Mytilus edulis: one gene and its partners. The protein of the gene in region 1 purifies or fractionates together with the protein of each later gene. This does not show direct contact. Links are inferred from orthologs where the notes say so. Each region holds a gene or a part of one and is shown on either strand. Other genes may lie near its edges.

Region 1 (7,342 bases):
ATATTATTAGGATTTCCATGCTGTTTCTTTTCAACTTTTATGTCTATGTACATTTACATGTTGATTACTTATAAGGTGTTACATTGCATGTTGTTACATTTGTGAAGCCATTTTTAGGTGTGGAAATTTGTTAACAAAAAGTTGATAATTTTCACAAATTAACCTGTAAAACATGCAGTAATTTCAGCAAAAATCAGCTATGCGGAATCAAACTTAAACTTGATCTGTAACCCATTAGTGTAAACTAACATAATAAAAAATCATCTCAAAAATGTGAAGGAATGTAGAATAAAAGCTTGAAAAGTCTGTATAACGACAATCACTTTTCCATTGTGGCATCAGATATAATCTGATACATGTATTGTGATGTCAAAATATTATGGTATTATTTTAGATGTCCATGGCCAGTAATGGTGGTAAAAAAGACAATACACCTTATTGCTATTTGTCTGCCCATAGGCATTATTGGCCATGGACATCACAAAAAATGCTGATTTTTTTTTAAGTCATAATCATAATAGAAAATATTTGACGCCCCAAAAGAAAAGTTATTGTTGTATGACGTCAAAAATTCAAGCGAACAGATTTTTGAGTAAAGCGGGACAGATTTTCAAATAGCAATAAGATGGATTCCTTTTTCTTTGGTATTAGGTCTGTTCGTGCCCAATACACTTTCGCACCCAAGGTTCATTTATTCGTTCGCTCCCAATCTTAAAGCAAATTCTTGTTGAATAATTAGAAAATCATAATTGTTGTTTTAAATTACTTTCATGTAAAATACTGCATAAAGCTTGGTCTGAGTAAATTTTTTTTAATTTTAAATGAAAAACACAAAAGATAATTGTTTTTAACAGTTTGGCTCCTTTGATCTGAAACAATGAAACAAAAAAATTATAGCAATACACAAATCAAAACATGATTAAAATGTATTCAACAAACATAAAAAAAAACGCAGAATCTCACTTTATTTTGAAATAATTAAAAAATGTTATACATGTAGCAATACACTTACCAAAACATGATTAAGATTTATTCAACACAACAACAAAAAATTGTTGACAGAATCTCACTTTATTTAGAAACTGATTAATTTTTTTTTACAATACACTATCCAAAACTTGATTAAGATTTATTCAACACAAAAAAAACGTTGGTTTACTTTACTTTGAGACAATGACAACAAATTAACTAATAGGAATACACTTGCCAAAACTTGATAACAAAGTCACTAAACACAAAACCAATAAAAAATTTGGGCAGGAATGTGTAGGGTGCGAAAGTGAATGGGCCCAAACAGACCCAGATTCTTTGGCTTTTCTCTTAAGCCTCAGTCACACCTTAACAGATAACTTTTTTTCAAATCGTTCATGTCTGTTCTTATTCGTTAGACGTCCGTCCATATCAGTTGCATTTCCGTTTAGCGTACGTTTTATCCGTCAACTCCGTTCTGTCTGGTGGAAAATTTTGAGTATGTTCACAACTTTGAATGGACGTACAACGGATACTGAACGGATCCGAAACGGATAAATGCCAATTGAAAATGCTGCGTCAGAAATGCCAAATAGATTTCTTAAGGTTCATGAATTCTTATTATTCATAATAGATCTTAGAGGGCAATAAGAGTAAAAGCACGTCTTCACATTCAAGCAGCTCTTATTCAGGCCAAACACTTTTTTGAAGAAAAAACCAAAACCAGTTACACAGTTGTTGAAGGCCATACGGTGACCTATAGTTGTTAAAGTCTGTGTCATTTTGGTCTCTTGTGGATAGTTGTCTCATTGGCAATCATACCACATCTTCTTTTTTATATACACAGATCAATTTTGAATATTTATATGGGGACGAAGTCCCCAATAACAGTAGAAAATTCAATAAAAAAAAAATCGGGAAAATTTCCCGAATTTTTCATTGTACTAATGAACTCAAAATCGTTCAATTTTTTTTATGTCATGTTTTGAAATCCCGGACCTGCGCAGAAATGTACAATGTACTTCCTTTTTCCGGTCTCGTTTGTATGAAACTTTGAGTAAAATATATATTTATCAGTCTAGTATAAAATAGGAAGGAATGCGCAATACCAATTTCATTTTTAATAATTCCTTGATATGAAAAAACGTTACCTGATGATAGCGTTTCTTTGTTTACATTGCATATGACGTCATAACTTAAATAACGTCACAACTAAAATCCCTAACAAAAGAACCAAAATCGGAAACGTTACGGTATTTCCGTTTCTTTTTCTTAACAAATATATAAATGTAAGTTACAAAAAAATAATTCATACAGACTTCGTCCCCATTTACAGGTAATGCCTGCCTCATATTATGATTTACATGTTTTATTATTGTCGCTTTTAATTTTTCTGTATATCTTGTTCATCCGTTTTATCCGGTACGCTTCCCTAAGGTGTCATTTTTATGTGGTACTCGTCCGTTGGATGTACATTTGACATCCGTTCTGTCCGGTACATTTCCGTTTCTCGTACATTGAATATCTGTGTGTGTCCATAATGCATTCGATACGTCCGTTTTATTTTGTCAGTACATCAACAGACTCCCAACGGATAATAATTTTTTCAACTGAAAACTTTCATTTTCATCTGTTTGGTTCCGTTCCTGCTATCCCATAAGGTGTGACCGAGGCTTAACAGAAGCTGATCAATGTATATATGATCTGATCATCAACACAGATTTTGATTCAATAATCTGAAATAATTGAAATTCTTTGGAAAATAGTGCAACCGTTTGGGGAATAGTTATAAAACCAAAGTTTATTGTATCAATAAATCCACTCATGAATCAACAAGAGCATTATTGCCTGTAAATTGGTATATTCAGAAGACAGAACGCTTGTTTCATATAAGAATACCTAAAACAAATTTCAAACTTAGCAGAATTATCTTTACTTTATGCCTTTACGTTACGTCTATCACATTTTCTTTTCCCATAAAGATGAAACTTTCAAAAAACCATACCTATCTTCTAATCTGTTCTCCAAAATAAATTTCTCTATGGAATTTACCACAACTTCCGGTTACCTTTTTAATAATCTCTAACTATTTTTTATAAATTACATATTACTTTGTCTCCAAATATTCTTAGTTAATTAACATGAGAGTCTAATTATTATTATAAATATGACCACCAAAATAGAGTTGATAGTATATTATTTAATATTAAGTATACACTATTTGGTTTTCGATTAGTCTCCTTCTATACGTGTACTTCCTGTTTCATTTTTGAGATGGCTTCAAAAAAGACCGGCTTGATGGACAAAGTAATTTTTCTTTAGCAATGATGAGAAATTTTGTAATTTAAACAACACACAAAACATTTTCAAAATCTGTTTTTCAAGTTGCATGCCTGTTTGAACAATGGTATTGCGTTGAAATTCGGGAAATCACTTTCCATATGCGGAAAATATTGCCTTTATAGCAAAATACCACAGGCACTTGTTTCTATCCATACGAAGGTCGACTATACATATACATCTATTTATATGGATAGTCGACCTTCGTATGGATAGAAACAAGTGCCTGTGCAAAATACACCTTATCGCTATTTGTCCGCCATTGCTAGAAATCACACAGGTTCCCGTAAAATTTTGACGTCATAAAACAAAATATCTGACGCCACAATGGAAAAGTGATTGTTGTTGACGTCAAAGGTTCAAGCGGCCTGGTCAGCCGGGATTAGCGATAAGGTGTATTAAAGCTAAATATATATAAATGATGTGGTGGTATCAGTGTTCTCCCCAGGCCGATATGACGGTGCGGTGCCGCAGCGCCTTCATAATATTTTTGTTAATCCAGCAGCGTCTTAATTGGCCGCTTTTACTACTTGATCCCGCAGCGTGTTAATTTTCACATTTTCATTATAAATGTTGGTTAAAATTGTCAAGTTGCTGATCACCGCTGGAAGAAGAAGAGAGGTCGGTCAGTGTTACGCAATATCTGATAATATAGTTTTACCTGAGCCACACTTATCTCAGCCGTATTGGACTATGTTAACTTATCATGTAATAGCGTAAATGATCATCAAGAAGATAGATATTTTCAGAAGAAAATTAAAAAAATTAAAATCTTCAGTGCAGAAATTGAAGAAATAGATCGCAAATACATTGTATTTAAGCATCGTGTGTGTGTTTACTTGACCATTTATATAACGAATTTTTTGCATTGGTCGAGAAGAAGAATCTATTGAAACACGACCAATGAACGTGTTCAATACACGTTATAGATTTGAATACACATTGCTAAAGATATTTACGATGAAAATTATGAACGAGAGTATTTGTTGTTGAAAAAATTAAAATAAACTTTAATTAAAGATAACGAGAAGTAATTTATTTTAATTGAAAGTGAAAAATGTTGCTTGCAAGGTAAATTCGTTTCAAACTGTCATATTTTTAGAAATAAAATGATCATTGAACATCGATCGTGAGTCCGTGCGTCTGGAACATATTATGTGACAATCAACAAATAAACAAAATAACACTATCTTGAAACAATATCCCTAGAAGTAGCAGAGAGTACAGAGATGAATATTTATATTTTGACTTCTTTAATTGACTGAATATAAATAACTTTTGTGTTTAAAATCAATTTATTTCATAAATATAGTATATTATTCATTTCTTGTATAAATTCATTTATTCTCTGCATTATTAAACACACAACACAAAGCAATATTGCATGTTATGATTTATGACTGATTGATTCAGATCACAAAAGTTCACTACAAAAAAGGAGTTACGCGCCCTTGAATTTTGCGCCTTAAAAAAATCCTGGGGAGAACACTGGTATGATTGCTGTCTATGATCAAGTTGTTCAACAGCCAATAGAGCTAGTCTACTGTAGTGATGAGAATCTTTCAAATCTCATTTAAAACTGATCAGATAAACAAATAACAATTTCCAGTCAGGGCTGATCTAGGGATCGATGAAAGGTTGTTTTTTTTGTCCTTTTGACAATATTAAACGATGAAAAAAATGGTGTTATTGGAACATGTAGCTGTGGAACTGGAATTCTGGTAAAATCATCACATTGTTTCATCATCATCTACATGTAGTCAAATCGGTCTGCAAATTATCCAAAAAATGTAACAAAAAGTTGAGATACAGTTTCACAGCCCTTCCAAGGGTACAGTTCAATTCAATTTTCATAAGTTTCTTATTATAAAGTGGGATGAACATTTCTGTCCCCACTGAATCAGCCCAAATAAGGTTCTAGCTGATCAGTTCCTGAGGGTAATTTTAACAGGTGGAGTTTGCATGATTGATTTTACTTTTCAGCTTACAATGTATGTTACATGAATCAGGAGGTTGCACTTCTGTTAAAAGTTACACCGTTCTGTTTTTGATGCATTAACTATGTGCTGTAACCTTTTTTCCTATATATAATGAATGATTTTTTGCCATTGCGAAGAATACATCATGCTCCTTATAATTTGAGTCTTCTTCTTCTTCTGGTATACATGTACAGCTGTTATAGCTTTATTTTATAATATGAGGCAGGCATAACCTGTGAATGGGGACGAAGTCTGTATTTTTATTTTTATTTAAATTCAAACATGTTAATAAAAGAAACGGAAACACCGTACGTTCCGAGTTTGGTTCTGTTGTAAGGGATTTAGCTGTAACATTCTTTAAGTTATGACATCATATTAAATGTAAACAAAAGAAACGCTTTCAACAGGTAACATTTTTTTCATATCAAACAATTATTAATAATGAATTTGTATTGAGTTCCAATCTTATGTTTTACTAGACTGATAAATATATATTTTATTCCAAGTCTTATTCAAACAAGACCGGAAAGGAAAGTAGATTTTTTTGCGCAAATGCAGGGAAAACCGGAACAGGAAGTAGATCTGAAAAAGAAAGTTAACGATTTGAGTTCATAAGTAGAATGAAAAATTCTGGAAATTTTCCCCGATTTTTTTAAATTTTTTTTTTATTGACTTTTCTACCATAATTGTGGACTTCGTCCCCATATAATTAACGGTTGGACCTTAAGGCCACATCAAAAAAATATGTGGTTCAGTATTTTTTAATTGAAAATACAGGGATTACAGGTGAACAAATTTTGTTTAAATTTTATTTCAATGAATCTTGAGTGATAGAAAATATATTTTAGTATATGACTGTGCTGACATTTAATAGTTACTACATTTTTAGACCTGGAACAAATTAAGTGCTTACCATATTTGTATGGATATGTGCAACTGCTGTATGTTGAAACAGTATATTAACCAAGAGTATATTAGCATTTTATGATAGGGTTCAATGCTGTCTCAGCCAGTGTAAACCCCTCATCTCATTTTATACCAAGAAAAAAAACTCCATCCTAATAAAGATATATATATGGTTTGATAATATGGCTTTTAAGGAATGTTATTTATTCATTTGAACTTTTGTAATTGTAGAACGAATCAGAACAGGTTAGTTTTTAGTTTCAGAGATCAATCTGTAGAGCACCATATACATGTACATTTGTAGATGAAAATGCAAATGAATTTTGTTAAAGAAAGTGGACTGTACTATCATTACTATTTGATACTTAGAAATTAGTTAACTATTTGAAATTTGTATTCTCCATTAGTTCTTTTCCAATATAGGAAATTTACACAAAATTCTATCAAATCTCAAAGGTTTTCATGCATGCTGGATTATCTCATAATAAATATTGTTTATGTCTTGAAAAATTAAGTTTTTAATACACAAGTGTCAACACTTTACTTTGGACAAAGGATTGATCTCTCATTTTTTTTTGCATGATGGTTTAGTGGACAGTTCTTAATAGTCTACCATTGTTTATCATGTGCATGGACCATGTTAAGCTCAATTCAGATTTGACTATAGGTTATTATGTACAGGGTAATAAATATTTTGATAGATTTAAAAGCCTTTCACTATACTTCATAGAATTATATAAAAAAAACTATGTAAGGTTAAATCATAAATGTTAATTCATGAATTGAAAATAATGACATACTATTATTGTACATTGTATCAAGGATTTGTATACTGAGCACTATACAAATCCTTGATTGTATGTACATGTAGATGTGCATATCAACATGAAATTGTGGATCAATTTGTGTTCTATGCCTTATGCCCATTTGAACTTAGAATTTTGGCCTGACTTATTATACTCAGTCTACTTAGACAATTTGTCATTTCTCTGAACAAATATTCTTATTTTACTGCATTAATTAGAGTTTTAAAACAATCCAATTTAAATTCTTTTTTCTAAACTTTACAGAAGCTCTTGCTGCATTAATGTCATTTTAAAACATGATGATATACGAGTGAAAACTCTCGGAATTAAATTAGTCTTGAA
Region 2 (7,092 bases), on another chromosome or scaffold:
GTTTGGACAAACCAAAATATTTTTAATTGTGGCCTAGGTTAAATTTTTGTGGGTTTTTTAATTTTGTGGATATATTCTTTCCACGAAAATTTCTGCTTTTACAGTATAACATATTTAAAATGTTTGCAAGGTTAGTGGCTGGTTCATTAATCGTTATTCCATATTCTATATCTAACCGCCTGCAATATAGACTTTTGCAATTTATATTTTAAGTACAGATATCAAATTGGCACTTTGCGTCCTCCGTACATATTAAAGTGACAAAGACAAAAATTAACTGGAACACATGTTTTGAATTTCTGCAAAAAAAAAATATACCTTGCATCAACCTCTGTTGAAACTCTGCCGGGTACAATTTTCAGGATCTCTAAACCAAACAATACATATACCTTATCCATAGCAGCTTCTATTTGTTGTTCCATTGTCCTATTGAAATAAAATTTAAAAAGATATTTTATGTTTGTTAAAAGAGAAAAACATACCTTGTCTTCTTTCTGTTTTTACTCTTATAATAAAGACATGTTTAAAGTACAGTTACACAGCATGATGATTTTTTTTTTATATTTCTTTTTCAGTTTATTTTCTTTTTTGTCATGATTTCAAAATTCACTATTCATACTATTCATAAGGACTTTTATATGACTGTCATAAAGTGAGAGGTTAGGCTATAAATGTAGCTATAAACCTGGTTCAATCCACTATTTTCTACATAAAAAAAGTGCCTGTACCAAGTCAGAAATATGACAGTTGTTATCCATTCGTGTGATGTGTTTGAGCTTTTGTCTTTGACATTTGATTAGGGGCTTTGTTTTGAATTTTCCTCAGAATTCAGTATTTTTGTGATATTACTTTTTATAATTTAATGTAATGTAAAAAAAGAACAATAATCGATAATTGGATACACCAAATTGTGCATTTCATCAACATATAAATATATAAGACATTTATTATTGTACATATTTTTTCTTTTGAAATGAGTCTTCATCACATATTCATCAATTACATTCTAGCTTTACATTGATTAAAAGACTCACTTTACATTGCTGTATTTTAACAAAGTATTAATTTTAATTTTACCCTCCACTTTTTTTTGCAAAAGTAACAGCCTCTTCAATAAGATGTTGGTATGCTGGCATATTTGCTGCTGCTGATATCAGAGAAGGGTTGGTTGTAGCATCAGTAGGCTTATACTCCTTCATAGCTATGAAAGTAATTAAATAACTTCTGATAAATAATTAAAACATGACATATAACTTCTGTCTCTGTATACATTTTTAAACATGAACTTTGAAGTGTTTTCAGATACACAATTTCACAAAGCTTTTTAAAGTACATGTAATACATAACAGCAGTTTGCCAAAGGTAAACATTGTTGATTAGCGGTTTGTTTGACACTCAAGTGAAGCCATATAAAATTGATATAATTATAGAAGTTCTTTACCTTTACCTTCATCAGCATGATCAGTGACAAAAAAAACGCTATTAATGTTGACATTGCTGATATTAAATAAATAAACAGCTGTGCCATGAGCTCATGATGCGGCCATAGCTTTTTCAAAGAATAAAGTACAAAAAATTATCACTGTCATACAGTGTATCAGATATTCAGGAAAACTAAAGGAATGCTATCTAAATAGATATAAACCAGTAACCAAAGTTTCATGATAACTGCTCAACACATTGTATGAACACTCCCCCCCCCCTTTTTTATGAATAAAATCGCTGAAACGTAAATAATAAAATTGATAAAAAAATTGAAAGGGAGCTTATGTCAATAGATATAAACAATACACCAAAGTTTCCTGCATATTGCTGAACCATTTTGAGTTACATGTCATGTATTGTTCAAAAACTAGAAAATCCTCCTATTCTTAACGAACAAACCCTCCAAAACTTAAAAACTTACAATGTCAAATGTAAAAGTTATGAAAATTAAATGGGATCACACGTTAATAGATATATAATTCACCAAACATGCCAAAGTTTCATGACAATTCGTTAAACCGTTTTTGAGTTATTTTCCGACATGTTGATGCTGGACAGACATACCATAATACGTCCTGTAAACAGACGTATAAAAGAGGGTTGTAATGGGGGTACCTTCATGACGAATAACAGTAAAAATTCCTGCCAAACGACATTAACGGTAATTTTTGGAGCATAACGATAAAATATGCATAAAAAAAGGTGCCTAAAAAAAATCAAATGATTTTGACAAATATGTTAATTTATCACATTAATTTTTTTCCAAAAAAAAACGGTAATGATAATTAGAACTAAGACCTTTGACAAATCATGATAAGGATATTTTGACGAATCACGAAAATTTTTAAATCAATTTGAAAAAAAATTCCAATAGTTGTAAATTACTTAATATTTTACAGAATTTGCTTTTTTTCCATATGTAACTGGGACACCTGTGTCATATTAACTTGATCATATTGTGTATACTGTACATGTTTATAAATGACATGCGACAACAACATGGACAAGATCTCATAATTTTTGTCATGTAAAAAAAATATTTACCTTCAAAATCACCAGTGTCTGCAACTATGACAGTTAATTCCTTTAGCTGGTCCAGTGTTGTCATGGCGGATTTTTTAGTTTGTGGCTCAGACATCTCAGGATATTACTGTGAATAATATTTCCGCTAAATCAGGATGCAAAATTTGGGACAAACGTTTACCTGTTAGGCTATTGATGTTGGATGAGCTAGGCATGCAACACTGACAAGGAACCAGACATAATGACGGAAGCGCTTTCCTGAATATAAATACTAGGACAAACTCGGAGACGACATGTTTAACAGCGTCGAGTGTTAGCTTTCTAAAAAGCTTCTCCAACTTCAGCAATATGACGGAGGAAAATAAGATATTTAAACAAAAGCGTTGCTCTTTAAGTAGCATGTCAGCTGCAGAATACAATATTTTAAAAATCACTAAATAAAACTCATCATAGATACCAGGATTAGATTTTGTATTTACGCCAGACTCGTTACCCTAGCTTGTGACGACGTATGCACATTTTATAAAAAAAAAAAAATATACCTGCAGCCTTTCTCCGTGTACTCCTATAGTTAGAGTGACATATTTTGTGCTTAATAGATAAACGAAAGATTTTTTTTTTTTTTTTTTTTATATATATATATATATAGATAATGATTAGACCGTTGGTTTTCCCGTTTGAATGGTTTTACACTAGTAATTTTGGAGCCCTTCATAGCTTGTTGTTCGGTGTGAGCCAAGGCTCCGTGTTGGGGGCCGTACAATCGCCTATAATGGTTTACTATTATAAATTGTTATTTGGATGGAGAGTTGTCTCATTGGCACTCACACCACTGCTATATCTATAAAGCTAGTAAAAAGAATGGACTTATTCAAGTACACCTTCTAGATTAGTGATTTAAGCACGAGTTTTTTTTTTTTATTGTTTTAGGTTGTTTATGAATTTTGTAGACAATAAACCATAGCACCTCATGGTCAAATAGATGAATAGTAATGAAGTTCGTGTTTTGTTCGCAGATATATAAAAAAAATGTCTTTATTTGCCACAAAACTCCCATTTTCTATAACATGCAATGTACACAGCTACTTTTGCATAGGTACTATTTCTGTACTTAAAAATGCAGTACTGGAAATTTACTTTTAATATCTAGTACTATTTCTTTACTTTAAAACTGTTGTAATATTTAGGTACTTGTATTTTACAGTACTTGATTTGTACCAAATATTTTGGTACAGAAATAACACAATATTTCATGTTTGAAAATCATAACTTTAAGAGATTTGAAATAGAAAAACTTTCAAAATGCTGAAAATGTAACGGTAGTAACCAAAAATCTGTAGTACCTTAATTTCAAGTACAAATAAAGTACTGTAAAATACATGTACCTAAATATTACAATAATTTTAGAGTAACAAAATAGTACTGAATATTAAAAGTAGATTTCCAGTACTACATATTTTTAGTACAGAAATAGTCTATGCAAAAGTAGCGGAGTGTGTAATATTTAACCGTAGTGCTCTGAACAAAGTTTACACAGGGTTGCATGCCTTTTTAGCAATTATTATTTGGTCGGTCTTCTAAATTTGAAAACAATCACTGAAGCCTACCGGTATATTATAAATTATAAAGCTTTTCACATGTACATATGTTATACCTTTAACATGTTTAATAACATACTAGATTTTGCAAAAATACTATTTTTTTAACATCCATGTACTTCAACGTTTTAATCCTTCGAACCTTCCCCAATTGATTCGTTGCACTTTATCGTTATATAACATCGTACTTTAGCATGAACACACGTACTTTAGCAACAAACAACTATTGCACTTTAGCATGAGACACCATCGCACTTTAGCGTAGACCATCGCACTTTAGAGTCCTACATATATACAGAATGAAGTCCTCAAATGCTCATTATTAAGACTTATTACGAATCTATAACGTATTTTAGACACCCATATTATATTCAGTGATTGAATTTGTTGACGGTAAACTGATTATAACTTTCGAGTTTGCATCCCATTTGTTAATTATATACACCTTTTCATCACAGTTGTTAAATGATTTGGAGTATTTAATTTTTTTATTTAAGAATCATTTACTATTAACCTCCCTATTGCACCATGTGCACGTTTGTTTACTTTCTTTCCCACTCATATGTACACTTGCGCTTTGCAAATGGCGAGCTTTTAACGAGAGATATTGTTGTTAGGGTCACTGCATACGTAAAAAAGATCGGCGGAATTCGAGTACGGAAAGACAATAATTCTATATCAGTACATAATTGAAAATTTTGATTTAAACTAGGATTTTCTTTAAAAGAAGTCCAAGTTCACTTGTTTTATAGTATAAAAACTAAGTTATCAATGTATATAAAACATATTCAACTTTGTTTTAATTCAGTGAAGTATCATGTGACTTTAAACATTTTTCCGGCACACACAGTTTTTGATACGTCAGTAGGAAGTGAATCATCATGACTTGCACTTGTGTGATTTTCAGCTTATTAATTGTGTATTACTAATTGATATACGATATTTGAACATTGATAAATTACTGTCGCCTTTATAACTACTGTCAAGACACAAGACTAGTATGCTGTTAAAGATAACTTTGCCATTCGTATACAGATGGATCAACTCAGGCAAACATCTTACAACTACATGTATACCAAGAGGAACAACTTTTGTCATGGATCTAATCGTTTTTCTCTTTAAAAGAAAGATAAACTCAGGTTGTCTACATGTTTCATCCGCTTTAAATTGCTATCTCATTTGAACTGAATGCTTCATTATCTCTCACTTGACTGATTTTACAAACAGATTGAAGCGAGCAAATGTCACATTTTCATTTGAATAATATATTGAACACACATTTGACAATAATTATAATCCTGGACTTATACTGATATAGATGTATCAAATTTAAGCATTATGGTAAAAAAAAAGATAAAGAATAACCAAAACCCAAATGGTTCAAGAATAACTATATAATCATTATGGATAATTTTGAATAAAGGCAACAGTAATGGACGACATCAAAAGTTCAATGAAGGATAAAAAACTTAATTCAAATAGTTTTTTTCACTGACCCCCCTACCCCCCTATTGACTTAATTTGGGAAAATTTGATTGACCCATATGGATATATGTAAAAATCAATGTCGGATAACCAAAGCTTGCAGCAGTTCAACCCCCACCCCCAAACTATTTGAATTAAGTTTTTTTTTTTTTTTTTATCTTACATTGATCTTTTGATGTCGTCCCTAATATACCGCTGTTCAAAAGTCATAAATGGATTGAGAGAAAAAAAATCCGGGTTACAAACTAAAACCGAGGGAATCACAGCAACTATAAGAGGATAACATATGAATATAAGATTGAGAAGATGGGTTTTGATTAAAAATTAGATTAAATGACATACTAGAAGTTTAAACAACCCAAGGTCATGGTTTGCTCGAATGTGGTATTGGTAGGCTACTCGCTATTTTTTTAATTTTAAGTGTGATCATTTTATTTAAACTTAATTTTTTTTTGCAACTCAGCTGACATTGATGGCGGCATGTCAGTTAACCAAAAGATTTGTGGTTGCTATATAGTTAAATCATGACTGAATGTACCCAACTTATGACGGTCATTATGTAATATAATTGCGCCTAAGTTAAGACTGATGAAATCTAAGAGGAAACTTTGACCTGTAATTATGTTAGCTTCAAAATTTTCTGTTTCCTTTTTCTGAATCACCAACGTTTCATATTATGGCTTTCAGATCTTTTGGAGTGGAGCGTATCTGTATGTGTTTCTTGTAGACACAATTTATTTTTGTGTGCATGGAGATGTTATCATACGTTTTCGCGCACATTGCCTCGAATCGTGTCTCGTTCCTTTTGGGGGTTCATTCGATTTACCTTGTATTGTATCGTCTTCATAGATAAACGAAATTTAAAAATTTATTGGAAATACACGTCAAAGGCGCTTGGGTATAGAATAGAATAGAATAATTTTATTTACCAATTAGGACCCCAGGAGGGCGTATAGCATACAAACTTATTGGAAATACACCATGTACACGTCAAAGGCGCTTGGGTATAGAATAGAATAGAATAATTTTATTTACCAATTAGGACCCCAGGAGGGCGTATAGAATACAAACATTATTACATGTATTATAAACAATAACATATACAAAAACATCGGTAAACTTCTCCTGCCTTTAAACTAATGCCAGCATCACTAAATTCTATTTTGCGTAAAAATATCATCATAATGATATATACTGCAGTACCTTACTGCAATTGCGCAAAATAAGATATTGTACAGATAGTAATATTTCATAATGTTTGTATTGAGATATATTCAATAAGCGCATCATAGATAATTCATCATGATGCTATTAATTTCGGAAACGATTTTTTTTCTCAACAAAAAAATTTAATTCAAACTTTTCTTGTTCTATGAGAAATTTACAGAAACGGTAAGAATGGATATTTTTTTTTTAATCATGACACAAAATCTCTGATTTTCATAGGTGATATGCATGTTATAAGTTTAAAAACATACATACTTATAAAAAAAAAAGACAA
Region 3 (7,990 bases), on another chromosome or scaffold:
TTGATGGACTAGCAGTTCTTCCGACAGGGCTAGTAAAATCCTGCTGCCAATAAGTCCTGGGCTAGTTAGCTTTTACAAAAAAATTTAACCCCTGATGCCTCTGCTGCCATATTTTCCATCCAAACAGAACCAAACAAGTGAAATGCTAGCACTGCCAACTGATAGTGTGATGCTAACCAAAATCACATTCATTGAGACAAAACATTTTTATTTAAAGATTTGAAACAGTATGCTAGGAGGGACACATGTACTATGATTGCCAATGTTTTACATGTTTGTAATTGGGATACATGTTTTGCCAATATATGACTTAAGGGGGTTCGCGGGTCTAAATCATTTATATAGGATTTCTCTATATTTTTCTATAAATGAACTTTATCTTATAGTTAATAGAAAATTAAAATAAAAAAGTGGGGTCACCGTTCATTTGCGCTCACAATCTGCCTTCGAAAGAAGCATACATTTTTGTAAAGGTGGTTGAAGTAATAGGAGAAATATAGGTAATATCGAAATAAAAAAAGAAATTTATTACAGAAATCGCTCAAATTTTACAATAATTTAGTTTAAGTACAGCTTATATGGAAATTATATTAAAAAATATATGTCACCGATGAGTTAAAAAAGATATTTCAATTTTAAAGCCAAAAAAGGGCATTTTTCCACCAAAGGGAGATAATTTGGAACTATTTCAATGATGTACACATTTTAAATGTCATCTGGGGCCAACACGAATTGATTGTTTTGAATGATTTTTGTACCATATGATAAAGTAACAACTACAAAAGGTAATAAATAAAATTTGTAGTGAAAAACAAATGTTTAATTTTTTCTAAAATTTTTATACCCTCGAGCCTCCTTAAGCAAGGACTGTACCAAATGTATATGCTTCATAAAATGTTGATTATTGAGAAACCAAAATTGTATCCTAGACTTTCTCAAAGAGCCCCAATCATTTGCCAATACTGTAAATCAACTTATTTTCATGGATACTTTATTTCATATTTAACCTCTCTAGTCCACTTTGTGGTTATCTATAAATTTGGCAATTTTCTAATTTTTTTGGTGTAGTTTAATAAGGAAATATCCAAGTTTTACATATTTACAATGATTTTTATTCGCTCTATTTTTGTATTCGCCTCATTTTTTCACTTGCCAAAGTCATGAAAATAAATTGTTCTCGAAAATAAGTTGGTTTCTTACAGTACATATTGCCACCGAAAAAAAGTAGTTAGAATCATTGTAGAGCATGTCAACCTATTCAGTGGAGATCATATTAAAACAGGTGGTCTTGTTGTTCCAGAGATGATTTCAAATACTGGCTAAATATCAGCATAGAAGCATACACGTTATTGCTATTTGTCCGCCATTACTGGATATCAAATAGGTTCCCGATAAATTTTGACGTCATAAAACAAAATATCTAATACCACAATGGAAAAGTGATTGTTGTATGCATCAAAAGACAAAACAGTGACAATAAGAATAGACGACGTAGATGTGAAGTTGGAACCTGATAGTGGAGCTGATGTAAATGTAATGGATGAAAATCAATTTGTAAAATTTCAGAGCAAAACATACGGCAATCCAGTATTAGAAAAGAGTAAAATCAAGTTGAGCACACTGCAAAATTCATTACCAATCAAGGGAGAATTTAAAACTATCATAAGAAACAAAACATGTGGCACAGAGACAAAATTTATTGTTGTAAAAGGAAAAAATCAATTCTCCACCCTTGCTAAGCAAATCCACTCTGATTGAGCTAGGGATGATACAGATTAGAACTGATGGTTCTTTTGTAAAGACAAACCAGTTAAGAATACCAGACAGTGGACCGCCTTTCAACTCTGAGAAACTTGCTATTGATAAGGGATTTAAACACCACCAAGTCACACCAGGACGCCAAATAGCAAATAAAGAAGTTAACTTATTTAGGAAACCCATCAACAAAACAGAGCAAATAAGTTAAAAAAGAAAAACACTAAAACAGCTAAACAGGAGATCCATAGAAGATATATCACTCAAACTTATATGAAAGAGACAGACAATGCAAGGAGAAAATCAAAGGGTATGCTGAAAACAGAAACAAGAAGATGAAGAAAATGGGCCCCCGCAAGACATGCGCGGGAGGGGGCAGTGGACATTCAAAATTATGGCCCCTCCCCCCCCCCAAGACAGGCGCGGGAGGGGGCGGACAAAGAGAACTTTGGAAAACAGAGACAACAGTCAGGAAACCAGGACTGAAACATAAAGCGGAAGAACCAGGAGACCGATACAATTTAGTGAACATTTAAGAGACTATTATAATTTATACAAATTGAGAAAGTGAACATCTATTTTTTAGTTATTACAAAAACATTAGTGAACAATACAGAGACTGTGATAATTAAATCAATGTAAACAAACTTTATTTTACACATTTTAATTTACATTTATAAAGTCATTTTCTAATTCAAAGTTAAGGAGGAATGTAATATCTGTGATTATTCCGGGAACGTCACGCACAAACCTTCGGGACATTTACTTGTTACGTAACGTCGCTACCAATTGTATATTTTGTAGCCATTATTAAATTACTATTTGAACAATCAAGTCTTACTCCGATCTTTCACCGACAAGATGATTCTGAAGAAGCGGATTATAGTGACGGGGAAATTATATTTTTACCTGTAATATGTGGCGAAAAGTCCATTATGATGGCAGACATGGATATAACTTATAAATTCTACTCTATTGTGCTAATAGGTATGTTTTAACGATTGACTGTTAAATTAAAAGTAGTTAGTGTGATTTTTAACTACATTAGATCCACAACATAACAATAATGATAATACATGTACGAAAACCTTCATACCATCCCCCCATTTTTGAAAGAGTAAAGATCCCGAAATAAAAGAAATTGTTGAGTGAGAAAAAGAAGCATGGTTGTCGCATGTGTTTGGTTGGTTATTTAAGCACCTGTTCTAGGTCTACTGCCACCGGCACTGGGTAATCTTCCAGCCATTTCTCTTTAATAATAAACTTTATGGTTATAGTTTACTGTTGACAGGAAGCAGGTTGTAGGAATGTTGTCACTTGATTTGGACTTTCAGCATATCCGGCAAAGTGGAGGACCTAAAATGAGGAAGTCGAAAAATAAAAGCGAAACTTTACAATGTTCAAGTTATTTCTCTTAAACAGATCAACATGACTTGATAATGGAAACTGATTTTGATAGCTCATTAAATAAACTATAACTTCAATTAAAATTGATATTGATTATGAAATGCAATTTACTAAACAGAAGTTCGGAATAAATAAATAAATAAATAAATAATAAATAAATAAGTTTTATTTAGAGTCGGCAAGGTATACAAACAGAGACAAATTAAGCTCTAATAAGCATTAACCGACATACAAAGACATTTATAACAATACAACACATCATACACATGCAATAAATTACACAGCACAAAATGAAGCACTAAAAAGCATGATGATAAAAAGCAGAATATAAGTATAAGCTAGATATTAAAGCTAAAAGCATATATAAGTGTAAACTAGGCATAAAAGCTGGTATAATGCATGATAGCTTAAAATATTATAAAAAAAGGGGTATGATCTAAATGGTAAATAACTTTTTAGCATAATATATTAACTAAAATCTGCAAAAACAGTGCACTTACAGTCATTTCCATTCCATGACTTTAAAATATTTTTGACTGACTGACTAAAATTAGCATTTTTTTTACTATCATCAGGTAGATCATTCCATAAAACAGTAGCTGTGTATTTAAAAGAGTTCTTGATGTTCGGACCCTAGGTATATCTACAATATCAAAATATCTAAAATAATATTTACAATCTTTCAATACAACTAAATCATGTAAATATGGTGGTGACAATGAATCTATATAAAAGTTTGATACATTCAATAATCATGTTACACATACGTCTTATTTTCAGTGATGAAACCTTTGCTCGTAAAAGTAGCTCATCATATGAACTAGTATAGTCTTCATATATAAATCGTAAAGCCCTTTCCTGATTTTTTTTTCTAATTTAGTGTTGTTATTTTTGTTGCAAAAATGCCATGGCAAAGGACAAAAATTAAAATTAGATAAAATAAATATGTGGAAAATGGTTAATTTATTTAATTTAGTAAGGTATCAGCGGCCTGGGCTAGACTGTTTTAGTGTGCTTGGTCACCGATGTAAGGGACGACATCAAAAGTTCAATGTAGGATAAAAAAAAACCTTAATTCACATAGTTTTTTCGCTGACCCCCCCCCCCCCCCTTCCCCCCATTTTTTTAACTTAATTTGGGAAAAATCGATTTCCCTATATGGATATATGTAAAATCGATTTTGGATTAACAAAACTTGCAGAAATGTTGGCCCCCCACCCCCAAAATATTTGATTTAAGTTTTAGTTTTTTTATCCTATATCGATCTTTTGATGTCGTCCCTAATAGACTGTGTGAAAAAAAGGTCGACCATCCTGAACGCATTGAAATTTCTGAATTCGACTCCAAGGATTTGTCGACTCAAACTAGTCTTTGTTTTCATGAATTTTGACATCTTGGTTTGATGTGACTGGGGATTAAATAAATTGTATATATAATATTATATCTTCAAATCAACTGATCTCCATAAATTCTTTTTAAAAACAGAAACAGTAGCTTAAAAAGTAAAATCACAAAAATACTGAACTCCGAGGAAAATTCAAAACAGAAAGTCCCTTATCAAATAGCCGCAAAAGCTCAAACAAATCAAAACGAATGTATAAGAACTGTCATATTCCTGACTTGGTACAGCCATTTCCTTAAGTAGAAAATTGTGGATTAAACCAGGTTTTATAGATAGCTAAAACTATCTTAAAGTAAGCGGCGTTCTGAACATTAGTACCGACGCCATGTAAAGACTTCAAGTACAACACAGGGCTCAAATCTGAGACCCTAATTACTCAGTATCTACATTGCATTTATGTTCTATAAAAATCTGTAATCTTAATTGAGGAGACTTTCTTATATTAATATTTAATCAAGTTCCATATAAAATGGAGTTTATTTCCTGATATCACTCATTGGTTAAATTACACGAACTTAGAAAAAAATCTTCCAAGTAGATGAAACTGTATGTAGCAATTCACATAATTGCGTATGATGTTACATTTATTCAAATATCAATAAAATATTTTCAATATATTCAACATTACAGCAACAGCAACGGCTAGAAACAAAGCTTTATTTTGTATAACAAATTTGGTATTTCCTGAAGAACGTATCGTAATTTTGCATTAAAATTCACTGCTAGACCATAACAAATTGTAAATGTGAGAATTTATAGTAGCAAATTACTCATAGAGAGTTGGCAGATATAGAAGAACACCTTTTCAACAGATAATTATCTACTTTACAGTTAAATGGAACTGACGACGAATCAAATTTGCTCAGTGAGGATTTGGGAATCTATAAGAAATATCTTCTATTGCAATTCAAGTGATATCGTTAGATTTTTTATCAATTTGCCTAAATACGTTTTTTTTTTGCTTCATTTTAAAAGTATTGATATTGATACCGGAAATAATTGCCCCGGGAATTCGAATGAAACAAACATTAAGTAAAGGTAAAGCATATGTTATCAATTAGAATTGTCAGGTGTTATGGTATCTGATTGTAGATGTCTTGTCTAGTAGTTTTTTTTTATAACAAGACATTCCAGCAACAGATAGCTTATCTGTGTGTATCTTATCATCTAGAACAATGTTTCTATGTATGTCTTTTTTTATTGTTCTGTTTTGTTTCGTATAATATATATATATATATGTTCCTGTCCCATATAAAATTAATCAAAAAGTCCACAAAACTCATGACCATTACGAGTCAAACGTTATAAAAAAAACCAGAACGAGTAAAAAATAACAATAATAGTCCTGGTTTGGTACAGACATGTTCTGAAGAAAATAATGCTTTACATTTTTTTTTCTGTAAAGGAAGTTAAACCTCCCACTTCTATGACAGTTTAATCTTGTTTTATAGGTCGCTAAACCTCACACTTGTAATGTACGTATGACAGTTGTTCCGTGTCTCAAAATCTGTTATGATTGGGTGAGCAATCAAACAAAGTCGGATTTATTTTTGCCTTAGTCTCTTAAGATTCGTATATGCTTCAAAATAAAATTAAATATACAGTTTTACTTAAAGTCAATACCACAGGTGCTTGAGGCAGGGACCTCTTTTCCTGTTTTTGTTTTTCGTATTTAATATTTTCATAAAAAAAATAATGCAGTACAATGCTGTATGATATTTTACCATACATGTTGTTTATTTGGTCATCTTTACTTTGAATAAGACTGTAATGAAAGATCATAGAACAAAAAGCTACTTTTTTTATGATTGACGCCGGCTCTTTAGCGAATTTCATATACATGCACAATCAAGTTGTCCCTTTATTTATGTGGGGTTACTCAGCAACGCATATCAATACGCGTTCTCAAAATATTAAATGGTTTTCTTGCGCGCAAAAACAAACAAACTATGTTCAGAAAATTATAAAGTTATGAAAGCGTTTGAGTTTCATAAATTGCCCGTCATTTCCCAAACTTTGGTCTATGAAATGGTTATAAAAAAATAGTGCGGAAGAAGAAAATTTTAAAGTGAGTGATTTACCTCCACCATTTTTAAACAACATGGAGGATAGTGTTTTGGAAATCACGTAAAGTTATGTGTTTTTATCTACCTCCAGGTAACCACCATTCACATTGCATTTTAAATGAAAGCCAGTGTTGCCCTTGTCTCAGATTTAACCCGGCAAGTCTTCACTCATATAAGTAGAGTATGCTTTTGCAAACGTAACGTTTATGAAAGAGGTGATTGTTTTGACACCTCCACTCTATATATGTCATATATAGTTCAATATTCAATTACAGATAACTGCAGTTTATGTCACATTCTTTGAGGTCGGAAACAGACCGCGATAATTTGTTTCTTTTTACTAATGAGAGTCCTCTTGGTGTGTCAATGATAATTCAGCAGATCGACGTTAGTGCAAAAAGGTTGACCAAATGGCAATCATTCATTGACATTGAATCAGTTGGGCAGAATTTTTAAGTTACAAGTGAGTTGTTTACCAGAGTGAAAATTGTACATACAAGACTTGAATATTTACAAGAGAGACAATCCAGTGTGACTGTCAACAGCAACACACATAGAATGTAGAATTTTTATTAAAATCACTGACACTGTACATTAATGTCAATACACCTTATCGCTATTTGTCCACCATTGCTGCACATCACACAGGTCCCTGTAAAATTTTGACGTCATAATACAAAATATTTGACGCCACAATGGAAAAGCAATTGTTGTATGACGTCAATAGTTCAAGCGATACATATTCTCTGGTCAGCCACGAATAGCAATAAGCGAATAGCCTTTTAGCTACATTTGTATATGTCCACCATTACTGGACATCACACAAGTTCCCGTAAAATTTTGACATCATAATACAAAATATCTGACGCCACAATCGTAAAGTGATTGGTCCTCCTATAAAGCTTCATGTAGCTACTTGTATTTTATTTTACATCAACACATAACAATAATACCAAATTACTTTGTAATTTATACCGATTAATGATTATCTTAAATTAAATGGATTATTCTAATCATTGCTAATGCAACAACGTTTGTAACTTTCATTTTGATTGGATAACGTCACTTTCTTACATGGCATCAACGTTGTTTTCTGTCAGTTTCATTAGAATGGAGATAACAATATTGTATTTTAAGGTCCAACGACATCAATTTGGGATTTGATGGTCGCAAATACCCATTTACTGTCTCCGCTTACGCGTCGCCAGTAAACTTAATTTGCGACCATCAAATCCCCAATTGATGCCGTCGGAGCTTAAAATACAATACAGTTATCTCCTAAATGATAAATCATCTATTAAAAAAAAATTCTTTAAAAAAATTCTAGATTTTTAAGCTACCCTGCTAATTAAGTCACAGT

What was found.
Region 2: the proteins of intraflagellar transport protein 81 homolog (region 1) and intraflagellar transport protein 88 homolog fractionate together in Homo sapiens (co-fractionation; 3 studies listed by BioGRID and IntAct, with this or other methods). This does not show direct contact. The link is inferred for Mytilus edulis from reciprocal best matches to the Homo sapiens genes IFT81 and IFT88.
Region 3: the proteins of intraflagellar transport protein 81 homolog (region 1) and intraflagellar transport protein 74 homolog purify together in Homo sapiens (affinity purification with mass spectrometry; 3 studies listed by BioGRID and IntAct, counting the BioPlex papers as one, with this or other methods). This does not show direct contact. The link is inferred for Mytilus edulis from reciprocal best matches to the Homo sapiens genes IFT81 and IFT74.

Annotation. Positions count from the first base shown.
Region 1 is NC_092346.1:86,979,828-86,987,169, forward strand, and holds the start of intraflagellar transport protein 81 homolog, read right to left. Parts: upstream 3,045-7,342; 5' UTR 2,975-3,044; exon of another isoform or gene 2,906-2,974; intron 1-2,905. Other genes in the region: signal peptidase complex subunit 2-like, read left to right, coding at 3,244-3,276. UniProt on the Homo sapiens protein: Component of the intraflagellar transport (IFT) complex B: together with IFT74, forms a tubulin-binding module that specifically mediates transport of tubulin within the cilium. Binds tubulin via its CH (calponin-homology)-like region.
Region 2 is NC_092353.1:50,393,773-50,400,864, forward strand, and holds the start of intraflagellar transport protein 88 homolog, read right to left. Parts: upstream 3,061-7,092; 5' UTR 3,026-3,060; intron 2,775-3,025; exon of another isoform or gene 2,624-2,774; coding exon of another isoform or gene 2,530-2,623; intron 1,202-2,529; coding exon of another isoform or gene 1,078-1,201; intron 427-1,077; coding exon of another isoform or gene 319-426; intron 1-318. Other genes in the region: transaldolase-like, read right to left, coding at 319-426, 1,078-1,201, 2,530-2,623. UniProt on the Homo sapiens protein: Positively regulates primary cilium biogenesis. Also involved in autophagy since it is required for trafficking of ATG16L and the expansion of the autophagic compartment.
Region 3 is NC_092347.1:2,125,704-2,133,693, forward strand, and holds the start of intraflagellar transport protein 74 homolog, read right to left. Parts: upstream 3,108-7,990; 5' UTR 3,002-3,107; coding exon 2,956-3,001; intron 1-2,955. UniProt on the Homo sapiens protein: Component of the intraflagellar transport (IFT) complex B: together with IFT81, forms a tubulin-binding module that specifically mediates transport of tubulin within the cilium. Binds beta-tubulin via its basic region. Required for ciliogenesis.